Cricetulus griseus: one gene and its partners. The protein of the gene in region 1 interacts with the protein of each later gene in a pairwise test. Links are inferred from orthologs where the notes say so. Each region holds a gene or a part of one and is shown in the gene's direction. Other genes may lie near its edges.

Region 1 (3,743 bases):
CCAGGCTGGCCTCAAACTCACTAAGATCCACCTGTGTCTGCCTCCCAAGTACTGGGATTAAAAGTGTGCGCCACCACCGGGCTTCATAAAAAAAATTTAAAGTAAGATCTACCTGTAACGGGGAAAATAAAGTCAAAGTTCTGTGTGGTGGCTTATGCCTGTAATCTCAGCACTCAAAATGCTAGGGCAGAAGGCTTGCCATGAATATGAGGCTAATCTGCCTACACCAACAACTACACCACTCCTCAGGGTGCGTGTTCAGAAGTAAGTCGAGAACCTGGAGTTTTTGACTCAGACTCAGTGTTTTTTCCTCTCTAATGAGATGAACTAATGAAGAAAATTTTAACTTAGTTACTGAGACTGTGCATCCAAGCCATTGTTATTAGAATACAAAGGAAATGATAACTAGTAAGTGCCCTCCTTGGAGAAGGGTGGTGCTGGAGGCAGGACCCAGGCTCTTTTTCATGCTGAGCACACACTGAGTTGCTCTGACAAACTTACCCAGTCCTAAAATCTAAGAAATGTTTGTGCAATGTTGCTGAGCTTCTGTTTTCATTGGACTTTAACAATTGATGCCATTTATTGAAAGAATAATGTTGTTAATAAATTATTTATTTTAAGATATTGAAACCATCTGAAAAGAAAGCTAAGTACCAGTATGGTGGACTGAATTCTGGACGTCCTGTCACTCCACCTCGAACAGCTAATCCACCGAAGAAAAGGTGAAGAAAGGAATTCTGTAAAGAAAGCATCAGATCTGTTAAGGACATACTTCATAATATAAAGTGTGCACTGTAAAACCATCCAGCCATTCGACACCCTTTATGAGGTCACACCTTTAACTTAAGGAGACGGGTAAAGGAGCTTAAATTTTTTTCTAATAGAAAGATGTGCTACACTGTATTGTAATAAGTATACTCTGTTATAATATTCAACAAAGTTAAATCCAAATTCAAAAGTATCCATTGAAGTTATATCTTCTGGTATCACACTTTTTAAAGATGACAAGCATCCCAGTTAAACTAGCTGTGGTAGTTACCCGATGAAAGCATGACGTTCCATCTGTGTAATGTGGTTTTAGTGTTGCTTGGTTGTTTAATTATTTTGGGCTTGTTTTGTTTTGTTTGTTTTTGCTAGAATAATGGCAACTACTTTTCCTGTTTTTCCCTAAACATTTTAAAAAGTGAAATATGGGAAGAGCTTTAAAGACATTCACCAACTATTAGTTTTCTTCACTTAGCTACTTATGTAACTGTTTGATCTTACTAAGAAAACTTATGCCTCAAAATAACAAAAAGGAATTTTAAGGGTTGATGGGTTTTAAAAATATACAAACTATCTGATCCAATGATTTTAATCAAACAGTTTGACTGGGCAACCTTTGCAGCTGATAATGAATATTTCGCTTTTTACAAAATTGCCACTGATTTGGATTTGTGCACTCTAATTTTTAATTTATTGATGCTCTATTGTGCAGTAGCATTTTGTTTAAGATAAGGCTCATATAGTATTACCCAAAACTAGTTGGTAATGTGATTATGTGGTACCTTGGCTTTAGGTTTTAATTCGCACGAAACACCTTTTGGCATGCTTAACTTTCTGGTAATTACCCTCACCTGCATTGGTTTTGTTTTTTGGGGTTTTTGTTGTTGTTTGTTTGTTTTTAGATCCACAGAACATGAGAATCCTTTTTTTGACAAGCCTTGGAAAGCTGGCGCTCTTCTTTCCCTCTCCATGTGAAGGATGTATTTAAATGAATGCTGGTCAGTGGGACATTTGTCAGCTCTGAGTATCGGGTGCTTCACTGTCTAATAATTGCCATGTGAATGTTGTTTTTGACTGTAAGGCTTTGTCACTAAAGATTTTACTCTGCGTTTTCATAATCAAAGGTCATAATATGTATAGACATGCTTTGTAGTGAAGTATAGTAGCAATAATTTCTGTACATGATCAAGAGTTTATTGCAGCATTTCTTTTCCTGTTCTCTTTTTTTTTTAAGGGTTAGCATTAACAAATGTCAAGGAGTAGCAAGGTCAACACAGATTTTAGAAGGAAGACTTAACAACAGGCACAGATCTGTGGTTCTTTGGATGTGACACTATTGGATGTGATTCTAAAGTCTTTATTGAACATGTCAAATTTGTAAGCTTCATAGGGATGGACATAATATTTATAATGCCCTTCTTATGTGTTACCATAGATGTGAAACCTTATATTGTCTTTGAAAATGTTAAACTGAGAACTCTGTTAACATTTTATGGATTGGCACATTGTATTACTGCAAGAAACATTTGATTTTCAGCACAGTGCAAAAGTTCTTTAAAACGCATTCATCTTTTTTTTTTTCTAATTTTGTTTTAAAGCACATTTTAAATGTAGTTTTCTCATTTAGTAAAAGTTGTCTAATTGATACAAAGCCTGAGTGATCATTCTGTGTTGTTTTACAATGAGACATGTACTGACATAGTTGTAGCCATGTTTCATTAGATGACACACACATTTATCTAATGTGATTTGTTAACTTTGCTGGGGTATAAATCAAATAGTTGCTAATAGGAATTTAGTTGTTATCTCTTAGTTGTCTATATTTAAAGGTAGCTCAAGAAAGTAAGCCTTAATCTCAATATTAGTTAATTTGTATCTTATAGACCAGATTTTTATAAATATTCATTCAGATTAAAACTAAGGAAAAGTAAGCAAATTAGTATTGGTTATTAAAGGATAGACATTATACTATGTAGAAAAATTATTTCAGATCTCTTAAAAACTACTCTACAGCTTCTCATAGATAAGCACTCAGTACATTATGTGCTCCTAACAATAATACAGTAATCACAGCTGAACATATGCAGCTATCACAGATTATTATGCTAGTTTGCTGGCAAAATCTCAAAGACAAAAAATAGAATACAGGCTGCCTTAAGTCCCAAGATTTGTGATGCAGACATGAAGATCTATGAAGTCAGGTCTACATATTAAGATCTTTCTGAGAAAAAAAAAAAATTTTTTTTTACAGTGTCCAGTCACTAGATGAAAAGTTACAGCTGGGCAGTGGTGGCACACGCCTTTAATCCCAGCACTCGAGAGACTGAGGCAGTCAGGACAGCCTCCAAAGCCACAGAAAAACCCTGTCTCGAAAAACAAACAAAAACAAAACAAAACAAAGGGCTAGAGAGATGGCTCAGAGGTTAAGAGTACCGACTGCTCTTCCAGATGTCCTGACTTCAATTCCAGCAACCACATGGTGGCTCACAACCATCCGTTATGAGATCTGGTGCCCTTTTCTGGTGTGCAGATATACATAGAAGCAGAATGTTGTATACATAATAAATAAATAAAATCTAAAAAAAAAGAAAAGTTACAAGCAGTTGCAGAGGACCTGGGTTCAATTCTCAGTACTCACAGGTTGTTCATAGTTGTCTGTAGTGCCTGGCCAAGGGGATCTGCTACCATATGCCCTCGCTGGGCACCAGGCACAGGTGGGTACATAGACAGACATGCAGGCAGAACCCCTATACACATAAAAAGAAAATGTTTAAATGATTTATTTTATTATTTCCTGGAATGATGCTTGGCATGTCAGACAGATGCAAATATGTGGCATTTAGTAAATTACAGATTCCAAAAATGACTGCTCGCATTACTGTTGGCACTTTGACCCTATGAAGAAATTTATAACATGGTTCCAATCTCCTTTCATTCTTTTGTCTCAAAACAAAAATACTGGAGTTGTCTTGGGAGGT
Region 2 (5,291 bases), on another chromosome or scaffold:
AAGCATGACTTTCCTTCAAGTAGCAGTTTTAATGTCAAAGGTGTACTTCTCTAGGTATCTAAATGCACTAATTCCTGCTATAGCAAATAAGGATTGGATCACACTGTGGTTTTCTGCTTTTAGAACCAACCTATAAACAAAACTCAGGACACCTAATTATGTCTCCCTAATACACTGCCAGTGTCACCAAACCTTGCTTTGTTTTTTCGAAGTTGTATCACTTCAGCATACAATGCTATGAAACCTTAATTTATAGAAAAAAAATACCATTCCTCAAGCTAAACTGTCAATGCTACAAACTTCTATTTTAAAAGTCATACAGGAACTGTGGAGATGGTCCCTGTGTGACAAGTTCTTGCTATGCAAACATGAAGACCTGCGTTTTCATCTTTAATCACATAAACAGCCAGGCATGGATGCACGTACCTGCAATCCCAGCATAGGGGGTGAAGATCAGTGAATCCCCAGAGCTCACTGGCCCGCTAGCCTGACCTAAAAAGGGAAGCTTGCAGTTCAGCCGGGGCACTCCGGAGCTGGCGGCTCCCTGTGCGCGGGTCAAACGGCCGGAACCCGCCAGCACCCGGGGCCGGGGCCGGGCGGAGGGAGTGCGGCGCGCGAGGGAAGGGCCAGAACCGCTCCACGACAGCGTGAGACCTCGCCTGGCCGGCCGCCACCCGCAAAAGCTCTTCCGAACACTGGCGTCTCACCTGAGCCCGGCGATCGTCCCCCGACGGATTCACAACGTGAAGATCCCGCGCGCTGCCAGCCCACCGCCCAATCGCAGAACGACTCGCGCAGAGTGACAGGGGACAAGAACCAATCAGACACGCTATGGGCGGGCCTCGGTGAATGCGCGCTGCAGAGCGCGCGCAACGGTTGCTAGGGACTCGCCGGACGCTCGCCCTACCGCGCCTCCGAGGAGCCAAAAGAGACCGACGTCTCTGCCCCACGCCACGGGGCTGCCGTTTACGCCCACGGCGGACCGCGAACGGTGAGCGACGCGCGGCCCGCCTTTTCTGTGGAGGGTGAGCGGAAGCGGACGACACGGGGGTTCATCGTGGGCTGCAGGCGGCGAACGTGCCCTCCCCGGCCGGACCGCGGCCCCTCCCTCCTGCTCCGAGCATCCGTGACAAAAAAGCGGCCCGTGGCGCCAGTAAACCAACGCGCAGGCGCGGAACACAGCGGTCTCCCAGGGCCGCCGGCCCCCGGTGCTGACACACATCGGCGAGGCTCCCGAGGTCGGGGATACGAGGCTAACCTGCCTCACCTGTGGCCTGTAGCGCTCTCCTGGCCGCAGTACCTCCTCCGCGCCTCCGAAGTCGGCACGGTAACGTGGGCGAACCCGCAAGCTTGAGATGTCTGCCATGCTGCCTGATGCTTTGCCGGGAAGTCGGCTTTCGCCCCGCTCGCCTAGACTCCACGCAAGCCTCAAACGCCTAGCTCAGGTGGAGCCGGGGCTTGCGGGAACTACAACTCCCATGAAGCACCGCTTCCACGCAAGCGTGTCAGCTCGCGCTTCTATGCTCGCTTCTATTGGCTGGCTGACAGGGCGGGGAGTTCTGATTGGCCCTTAGCCTGAGGCGACAGATTCCGGAAAGGGGAAGAGCAGCCAATATGGCGGCGGAGCGCGACGGCGGGCCGCAACAGTCGCAGGAGATGATGGAGGGTGAGCGGCCCCTGCGGGCGACCAGGAGGCGGCGAGCTGGGGGCTGGGCGGGCACGGCCTCTTGCCGGATCGGAGCTCGGCCTCCAGCCTCCGGCCGCAGCCACGGCTCTCTGACAGCTGCCTGCTGGACTGGAAGGGGCGGGCGGGGGGGGGGGGGCTCGGAGCCCGGGAGCCCCGGCCCGAGGGCGGCTGCGGTCAGGAAGGACCAGAGCCCCGGGAACAACGTGGCGCGAGCTCGGCCAGCAAAGGGGGGCGGGCGAGGAAGCCGCGGCCGTGGGAACCTAATCTAGAAGCTCCGAGATTGACAGGCGAGGGGGCAGGGGGACTGTCCTCTGTCAGCTCCTTGGGAAACCGAGGTTTCGGGCGTGTGGACCTGCCAAGTCCATAGTTTGTTCGCGCGGCATGCATGGAAAGAGGCTGCTCTGGAAGCGAATAGCCTGTGGCAGAGCGATGGGTAACAAGGAGGTCCGCTGATTGCGTTTACCAGGCGGTGCCTTGTTTTCTACATATTCAGAGTCTTGAAAGGACTAAATTCAACTTTCTTCCTTTTTTTCACTGTTGGATTGTGTCATTATATACATATATAAGTACATATATATATATATATATGTATATATATATATATATATATATATATCACATGTGCTTGTTTTGTACACAGTTGTGTAGATACATAATCGTGTGTATTTATGTGTACATATAGGTGTGTGTGTGCGTATATGTGCATATATAGAGACACACTCCTATACCCATTGTAGCATCAGGCAGATCTGAACCCTTGAATGCCTTTTAAAGACTGCTCTGTATTTCGGTGAGGGTTACTTCTGGAAGAGCAGTCACGCAGTCACTAGTGAAGAGGGTTGCAGAGCAAGGGGCATGGGCGTGGAAGAAAAGTCCAGTGTGTTTGGGAGTGGCCATGCTGCCCTGAGTTGGGCCGTGAAGGATCACTAGAAGTCATCCAGACTGGGGACAGGTGGGGAGGACCAATACCATTCCAGAATGGAAACCCAGTCAGAAGCAAAGGAGTATGGAAGAATTTGACCTAAATAAACTGTCATATGAGGTGGGGGTTGGGAAGAGACGGTGAGACTTTCTAGAAAAGGTCTTGGAGAGTCTTAAAGGGAGTCATACTGGTTTGTTTTGTGTTTTGGGGTTTTTTTTTTTAGTTTTATTTTGCCTTTGAATCTTTTCTAAGCAAGAAAATGCTTCTTCCTCTCCCCTTCCCTCCTACAGTACCCTCCTCCCCTTCTTCCTCTGTTTTTCAGTAAAGGGCAAATACAAAAGCCAGGCTTTCCTCTCTGCCACTCCCACACATGTCACTGCCAGCTGACACCTAGTTTCCAGAGCCCCATGTCTTTTGTGGGTGTATTTTGTGGGTTTGGATGTTTTTTTGTTTTTTTCTTTTTTTCTTTTTGGTTTGGCTTGGCTTTGGCTTTTTGTTTGTTTGTTTAAGATAGGGTCTCACTATGTAGCTTTGGCTGGCCTGGAGCTTGCTATAGACCAGGCTGACCTAGAACTCATAGAGATTCACCCACATCAGTTTGCTAGAGTGCTGGGATTAAAGGAATGTGCCACCATGCTCAGTGAGCTACCTGTTTTGTCACCTTCTCTATCACAGCCAATACCATAACTCAAACCTTCCTCCTCTTGATTTTATGGCCTTTTTGCTAGCCTGTCATACCTAGGCCACACAGTCACCTTCTTGCACACTGCCCCATGCTCTAGAACCTTTCTGCTGTCCTGAGGATAGATGCACAGGTTGCACCAACTGTCCCTTCTGTCTTCTGGGTCCTCCTGGGGGCCATGCAAATACCAAACAGAACCTAGTTTCCCTAATCCTGGATCACAGCTGGTCCTGTGTCTCTTGGGAATGCATACATTCTACATGTCATGCACCCGAGCCACTCTTGTGCCCTTTCTCTTTTGGTCCTGACGGCGGGGAGGTACTCCACAAACTCTTCTACAGATATGAATACTGAGGTTTAGGAAGATCATTTGCCAAAGCCACCTTTCATTGTTGCTTTCTTCGTAACTCAAAACCTGTTTGTTTACTCTAAAAAGCTTTGCATTGCTAACACTCTGTCCTGTGATCCTTTAACATCAGCAGTTTACCTAGGGCATTTGGCACTTTTGATACATCCTCATTTTCATTGGAGCTCCTCCCTGCCCACAGTCTGATTTTAGCTAGTCTTGATTGCTTTCAGAATGTGGGCCTATAATTTGAACCAGTTTTGGTCTTTTTGTTGTTGTTGTTGATGTAGGTATATGGCAGAAGGTTCACAGTGGTTCCCTCTTGTTCTTGTGGTGGATATCAGGTCAAATGTGAGAGCCACCTGGAAGGTACTTCACTATGTGGTGCCATTAGTGTTCCTGATCCCAGATCAGGTCCAGGGGCTTTTAGAACACTTGGCAGTTCTTTACAAGCTCTTGGAGGGAAAGGACAGCATGTCAATTGTGCCCACGTGGCCTCCTGGTTCCTGTCTCTATATCTTAAGTAATGTTGGGACATAGAAGACATTCAAATGTTCATGTCAACTGAATTTAACTATTTCAGAAAGAAGTCTTGCTGACTTACAACTTGTGTTAATCTGTTCTATATTCCTCAAATTGTCGAATGAAGTGGATGTGAATTCTCACTGACGTGTATGGGTTCAGTCGACAGGCGGGTTGAATCTGAAGAATCAGGTGATGAGGAAGGGAAGAGGCACATCGGTGGCATCGTGACAGACCTCAGTGAGCAGAGTCTGAAGGATGGAGTGGAACAGGAGACGGAGGACCCAGAAGGTACTGGGCATAGTTAACCTTGAACTCCCCATATAGTGGGAAGTGTGCTATTAAGATTGCTGCTGCTTTGACATGATTTCTCCTTGTAGGAGTAGTTGTGTTCTTCAAAGGTCCCAGTAGATTGGGCAGCTGGGCATGCTGGCAGAGGGCAGCCGGCTCTCTGGGGTACTGCCTCATCAACTGGCTGATTTACATTTATGGGTGCAGCAGATCCATTTCTGCTGAAGGGACAATACTACAGCTGATGACATTGGCACTAGGTGATGATTAGCACCAAAGCGGAAACAGAAAATGATTTTTAAATCCTTTACTCAGAAAACAAAATCTGAAGAGAATAATGTGGTGGTTAACTGCTATACTTATGTATCCTGCCACAAAGATAAGAAATCATTTCTGATCCAACCTCAACATTGCTTTTTTGAGACAGGATCTCACTATATAGCCCAGGCTGGCCTCAAGCTCAGAGATCTGCCTGCCTCTTGAATGTTCAGATTACGGGTGTATGCTTGTTATGCCCACAACCACCTTGATGTTAATATAGGCCTGAGACTCACTGGAAAATCACTCCATTGGGAACTAAACAGCTTCCTGTGATGGTTTTATACCCTCCTCAGTAATGGCCTGTGCTAATGTGCTTGCTCAGTAAATCAGTTTACATGGAAAGGAACGACAGAAAACATATAACCACCGAGAAATGTCCCAGCTGAATTGTTGGGGCGGGGGATTTCTATGTAGTGTGTATCTTGCAATATGATTTTTAGTTGAAAGCATGAGTATTTAGTTGTACCTGCTTAAAGAGAAAACACAGTAGCATTGCTGAGGATCTCTTTCAACAGCAGGC
Region 3 (5,550 bases), on another chromosome or scaffold:
AGTAGTAATGCCAGAGAAATAAAAGAAAGAGACTAGGAGAAGAAGTTTCAAATCATAGCTATGATTCCAGCACTCAAGATGAAGCAGAGCCAGGCGTTGGTGGCGCACGCCTTTAATCCCAGCACTCGGGAGGCAGAGGCAGGCAGATCTCTGCAAGTTCGAGGCCAGTCTGATCTACAGAGCGAGTGCCAGGATAGGCTCCAAAGCTACACAGAGAAACCCTGTCTCAAAAAACAAAAAACAACGAGGAAGAAGAGGAAGAAAGAAGAAAAGAAGAAGAAGAAGAAGAAGAAGAAGAAGAAGAAGAAGAAGAAGAAGAAGAAGAAGGAAGAAGAAGAAGAAGAAGAAGAAGAAGAAGAAGAAGAAGAAGAAGAAAAGGAGGAGGAGGAGGAGGAGGAAGCATTAAGAATTCAAAGCTGAGTCTGGTGATGATGGTGGCGCATGCCTTAATCCCAGCACTCCGGAGGCAGAGGCAAGTGTATCTCTGTGAGCCCGAGGCCAGCCTAGTCCACAAATTGAGTTCCAGGACAGCCAGGGCTGTTAAAAAGAGAAACCCTATTTTGATGGGAAAAAAAAAAAAAAAGAATTCAAAGCCATCTTGAGCTATATAGATAGGCCTTATTCAAAACAGAGAGGGGGAAGAGAGAGAGAGGAGAGGAGAGGAGAGGAGAGGAGGGAGGGAGGGAGGGAGGGAGAGAGAGAGAGAGAGAGAGAGAGAGAGAGAGAGAGAGAGAGAGAGAGAGCGAGCTCTAACATGGAGACATTTGAATAGTTAGTAAATGAACCAGCATATGACTGGTTGACTTAAGACCGTTAAGGCAAAAAACTCGAGGTAGAAGTATGGTTGTTGAAGCAGCTACAGGAAAGGCCAGTTTATCAAAGCACAATATGGAAATGAGGGGAATAGCAGAAAATAATGAGAGATTATGGGAGGGGCACCACAGGTGGACCTAGATCTTGCATTATAGGTCAATGGAGAAACAGGATAAGAAAGGATAGCTCTAGGTAATTGACAAGTTAGAGTAACTTCTTGGTCCTTATCTGGTCCATTTTAAAGATGAGTTGCAAAGCTATGATTATCAGAGATGACAGTATTTTCTTTTCTTTCTTTCTTCTTTTTTTTTTTTTTTTTTTTTTTTTTTAAGAACATAGCGAGATCCGCAGACAAGGTGGCACTCCTTTAATCCAAGCGCTCAGGAGGGAGGCAGGAGCATTTCTGTGCATTTGAGGCCAGCCTGGTCTACATAGTGAGTTCTAGAGTATCCAGAGCTACATAATGAGACCCTGTGGGGTGTGGGGGAGAAGAAATGAATCCATCATTTAAGCAGATAGGTCATTGTCTGCAATTCCTTTGATTAATTTTGGCCAGCTGCAGCAAGTCATATGGGAACAACCCACGAACGAGGATTACGTTCCTCAGGCATGGGCGTGAGGTCCTGGAGCGGGGAGAAGGAGGGCTTTATAGGAGAATTCGTTTAGTTAGTGACGACGTGTAACCGAGGGTCGGCAGCCTTCTGCTTCCAAAATGCTGCAGCTGCTCTAATGCCTCTCTCCAGGAATCTGCTGTGGATGCTCCCTTTGCAGCTGCTTCCCGGGCGGAATATGGCTTTGCGGCGCAGGCCACCTCCGATTCCCGGCATGCCACTGGGCGTGGGCCGGGTGTAGACTACATTTCCCAAGCTGCCCCGGGCCCCGGCCGCGACGCGCCGGCGCCTATAAGAGGCAGAGCGCTGCAGCCGGAGCCTATTGTTAGCCGGAGCCGGGGCGGTTCTGGTCTTTGCTGCCCAGGGTGCCCTAGTGCAGAGCCACCCGCCCCCCGCCGCCTGCCGGCCGGCCGGCCCACACACCCTGCAGCCCCGGGAGCTATCTATGAGACGGGCCCGGGAACGGACCGGCACGCCTACGTCTTCCATCCTTGCACCCGGGCTGCGGCGGCAGCGGGGGCGGCGGAGACCGTGACGGGAGAAGCGGCCGCGGCGGGGCCGGTAATGGGCCTGGGGTGCGGGGCGGAGGGGTCCGCCTTTTCCTCGCTGGGCAGCGGCTCTCGGGCTGTCGTGGGGCAGCGCTCCGGCGCAGAGCCGTGCGGGGCGGGGGGCGGGGAGCCGGGGCGCCTCTGGGAAGAGGCGTGGGAGCGAGGGGCGCCAGGGACGCGGGCCCGGCTGCAATCTAGCTAGCTCCAGGGACAGCCGGGCGGCTTCGGAAGCCGGCAGGATTGCGGCTGACGGCTGACTTTGGGATGGAGTGGGTAGTGATGTAGGATGGAGGGACGGGAAGGGAGGAGTGAGGGACCGGAGGAAAATGTGGGAGGAGTGGTTGGGAATTTGTGAGTAGCGGGCAGGAGGATGTGGAAGACTGTAGGGACTGCGGACGATCGGAATGAGCGGGAAGGCTAGCGGGAATCAATGGGTTGAGAGCCAAAGGGTTCCTTAACTGTGTTAAGGGGACTGGTGACTTGACAATGTTCCTTCTGCTCTGGTTCCTGATGCCTCCCCCCCCCTTTTTTTTTTTATTCTGGCGTTGTGTGCAAAAATGAGAGCATCACTTGTCCTGGTTGCTAGTTTGATCTTTTTTTCAGGCCCTAACATGCAGCCTTCTGCCATCCATCCCCATTTGAGTGCTCATCTTTTTAGAAGGGTTAAGAGTGGCGATGTGACATACAAACTGTTCTTCAGTATGAAAGGTTAGAAGTTCTCCCCAAGAGACAACACTGTTCCCCTTGTCCTCCAGTTTTCAGTTCATGGTAAAACCGCAGCCGATTCACATTCTTCTTTTCTTTGGTGGCTTTAAATCTTACAAATCTCTAAAACCCGGGTGTTGGTATGTGGCAGTTATAAATGACGCTATCCTTTAGAGGAGAGTTAATGCAGCATCATGTTCCAAGTCTCCCACAAAGATCTTGTGTCTTCCCTAGGATGTGGCTTACATGTGGAAAGCCAGATTCTAACCTAGTGTTAGTAAAGTCTGGAAACCCAGCAGTGGGGAAACCCAGTGAAGGGACCTTCTTTAAACACCTAGCTTAAATAGGCGCTTTCAGTGAGGGCCTCAAGGGCTTTTCCCATCTCATGGTTTTGGTGATCACAAGGACAGATGGAACCATAAAACTGTAGTATTTGAGAATCACCCACAGTATCTTGTAAAAGGAAAGCAGGGTAGGGTAGGGCTTTCTACCCCTACCTCTACCCCAGTGGTGGCTGATAGGGTAAGGGATTCCTTGACCTTTAGCAGAGCATTGGGTTCTAGTTGAGTGGAAAGACTTTCCTGTGAGATGAACCTTGTCTTAGGATTTTGGACTCATTTCAGATAAAAAAAAAAATGCTCACATACCCAAACTTTACAAATACACTCTTCATCCACAGTTTTTCCCCAACTGCCCCACTTTTATTTATTTGTTTATTTATTTTGAGGCAGTGCCCCTCTGCATAGGCTGTCTTGGGACTCATTATGTAGAGCAGGCTGACCTCAAACTCAGAGATTCACCTGCCTCTGCCCCCAGAGTGTTGGGATTAGAGGCCTGCATTGCCACACCCGGTTTTTGCTATTCTTACATAATTCAGGATTTTAGGTTTGAGGTCCTTATCAGCCTGAAGAAAGCTTAGACCTAGTACTGAAATACTAGTTTAATTGGTTTTAATTGGTGCTTGTATAATGTCTTCTATGCACTGTAGCTATGAAGCATATTGTGTACCTTAGGGAAATGTTCAGCTAGAAACACTTAACACCATAAGGCATGTAATCAGAATGTGTCAGCTGACTCTTCATTTCACCAGCATGTAAAAGCTAAAAAGAGAGATACCAGTATTGTTGTTTGAGATGTGTATTTAGACAGTTAATTGTTCTGACCTGTGTTTTTAGTCTCACCTTGGTTATTTCTGTATAGGTTTGAGTGCTTGGATATAACTCATAAAGTGGAGGGGTAGTGGTTGAGACAGGGTTTCATGTAGCCCTTGATTAGCAATAAACTTGCTTTGTAGCCAAGGATGGCCTTGAACTCCTGCTCCTCCTGCAAGTAAGTGCTGGGATTACATGTATGTTCGATAAGGTGAGAATTAAAGAGTATCTTCTGAACTGAGATGTTGATCTTTTATCAGTGGTTAAGGGAATAGTTGAACCAGTGGGAATGACCGATTCTTTTTTTTCTTTCCTTTGGTTTTTTCCAAGACAGGGTTTCTCTGTGTAACAGCCCTGGCTGTCCTGGAACTCACTCTGTAGACCAGACTGGCCTCGAACTCACGGAGATCCACCTTCGTCTGCCTCCTGAGTGCTGGGCTTAAAGGCGTGCCAGGCTGGAATGACTGATTCTTAATAGAACCTGTTGTAGTGGTTACTATACTACTACATGAGTTCTTCAAGGCAGTGTGGGACTAACTAGGTTGGAGGTTCATGGTCAGGTTCACACTAGAGAGCCAAGTTGAAATATAAACTTACATTGTTCCCCAGGAGATGATAGAAATGTAAGTTTTGGGGCTGGAGAGATGGCTCAGAGGTTAAGAGCACTGCTTACTCTAGCAAGGTCCTGAGTTCAATTCCCAGCAACTACATGGTGGATCACAACCATCTGTAATGAGACCTGGTGCCCTCTTCTGGCATGTAGGCAGAACACTGTATACATAATAAATAAAAATAAATCTTAAAAGAAAAAAAGAATTTTAAGTTTTCAGTGTTGAAGGGCTGTACTTGGTACACACACCTCTGATCCCAGCACTTGGGAGACTGAAGCAAGAAGACCACTGTGAGCTTCTCCAGAAACAAGCTGGGGCCTTGTGGGACCAATCTGGGCTACATAGCTAAACTTAAACCATTTTAAGTAACAGGTAGTTTTACAGGAACATCCTGAGTAAGGTGAAGAGAGCTAGAACAGTGGCGTCTCAAGAATCTTCCTGTGTGTCACCATGAATAGTTTGTTTATTTTGTGGTGCTGGGAATTGAAGCCAGGGAAGGCTTCAAGCATGGTGGGCAACCACTGTACTACCGAGCTACATCCCCAGCTCTTTAATGGAATTTGGTCATATAGATCAGTATACACATTATTTATACATGTAGACCTGATTATTGGAGCTTAAGGAAATTACTTTTCCTTACGTTTTACAGCTTTCCACTCCCCCTTTCTTTACTACCTACCTCTGTCATTACCCAAACCACACCCCCAGAAGTGAGAAGATGTGAACCAAGAGGCTTAGAGCAAGCAGCCAAGGGCACAAAGTAACCTGATGAAAGGGTACTCTTGAGGAAAGCTGGGTTAAGGTAAGGGAGAATTTTAGTAATAAAGAGGGTTTTGGCCCAGATCTAAGTTCATGTGAGACTTAAAGAGTAATATTCAAAGGAAATCCATACTACCGGAAGCAAAGGATCCCAAGGAAAGAGCACACATTTGCTTCCAGTCATAAATCCTTGAGTGCTCCCAGGATGAGTAGCAGCCATTTTTCTGGGGCTCAGTCAGATTGAAGGGCACCTGAGCCTTTTCCAAGAGCAGGTTTTCTGCTCAGTGTTGGTTTCTCATGGAGTTGGGAAGGCACTGGTGGTGTGTATGATTGCGTGAACTTCCTCTATAGT

What was found. The genes of interacting proteins can lie anywhere in the genome.
Region 2: the proteins of Ppp1cb (region 1) and Ppp1r7 interact in binary tests that used the Homo sapiens proteins (3 or more experiments, as listed by UniProt). The link is inferred for Cricetulus griseus from reciprocal best matches to the Homo sapiens genes PPP1CB and PPP1R7.
Region 3: the proteins of Ppp1cb (region 1) and Csrnp2 interact in binary tests that used the Homo sapiens proteins (3 or more experiments, as listed by UniProt). The two-hybrid records come from large-scale screens. The link is inferred for Cricetulus griseus from reciprocal best matches to the Homo sapiens genes PPP1CB and CSRNP2.

The regions. Positions count from the first base shown.
Region 1 is NC_048600.1:11,974,069-11,977,811, reverse strand, and holds the end of Ppp1cb (serine/threonine-protein phosphatase PP1-beta catalytic subunit), read left to right. Parts: intron 1-621; coding exon 622-726; 3' UTR 727-2,416; downstream 2,417-3,743. UniProt on the Homo sapiens protein: Protein phosphatase that associates with over 200 regulatory proteins to form highly specific holoenzymes which dephosphorylate hundreds of biological targets.
Region 2 is NC_048595.1:444,811,150-444,816,440, forward strand, and holds the start of Ppp1r7 (protein phosphatase 1 regulatory subunit 7), read left to right. Parts: upstream 1-1,481; 5' UTR 1,482-1,614; coding exon 1,615-1,666; intron 1,667-4,321; coding exon 4,322-4,450; intron 4,451-5,291. UniProt on the Homo sapiens protein: Regulatory subunit of protein phosphatase 1.
Region 3 is NC_048595.1:396,957,614-396,963,163, reverse strand, and holds the start of Csrnp2 (cysteine/serine-rich nuclear protein 2), read left to right. Parts: upstream 1-1,740; 5' UTR 1,741-1,985; intron 1,986-5,550. UniProt on the Homo sapiens protein: Binds to the consensus sequence 5'-AGAGTG-3' and has transcriptional activator activity. May play a role in apoptosis.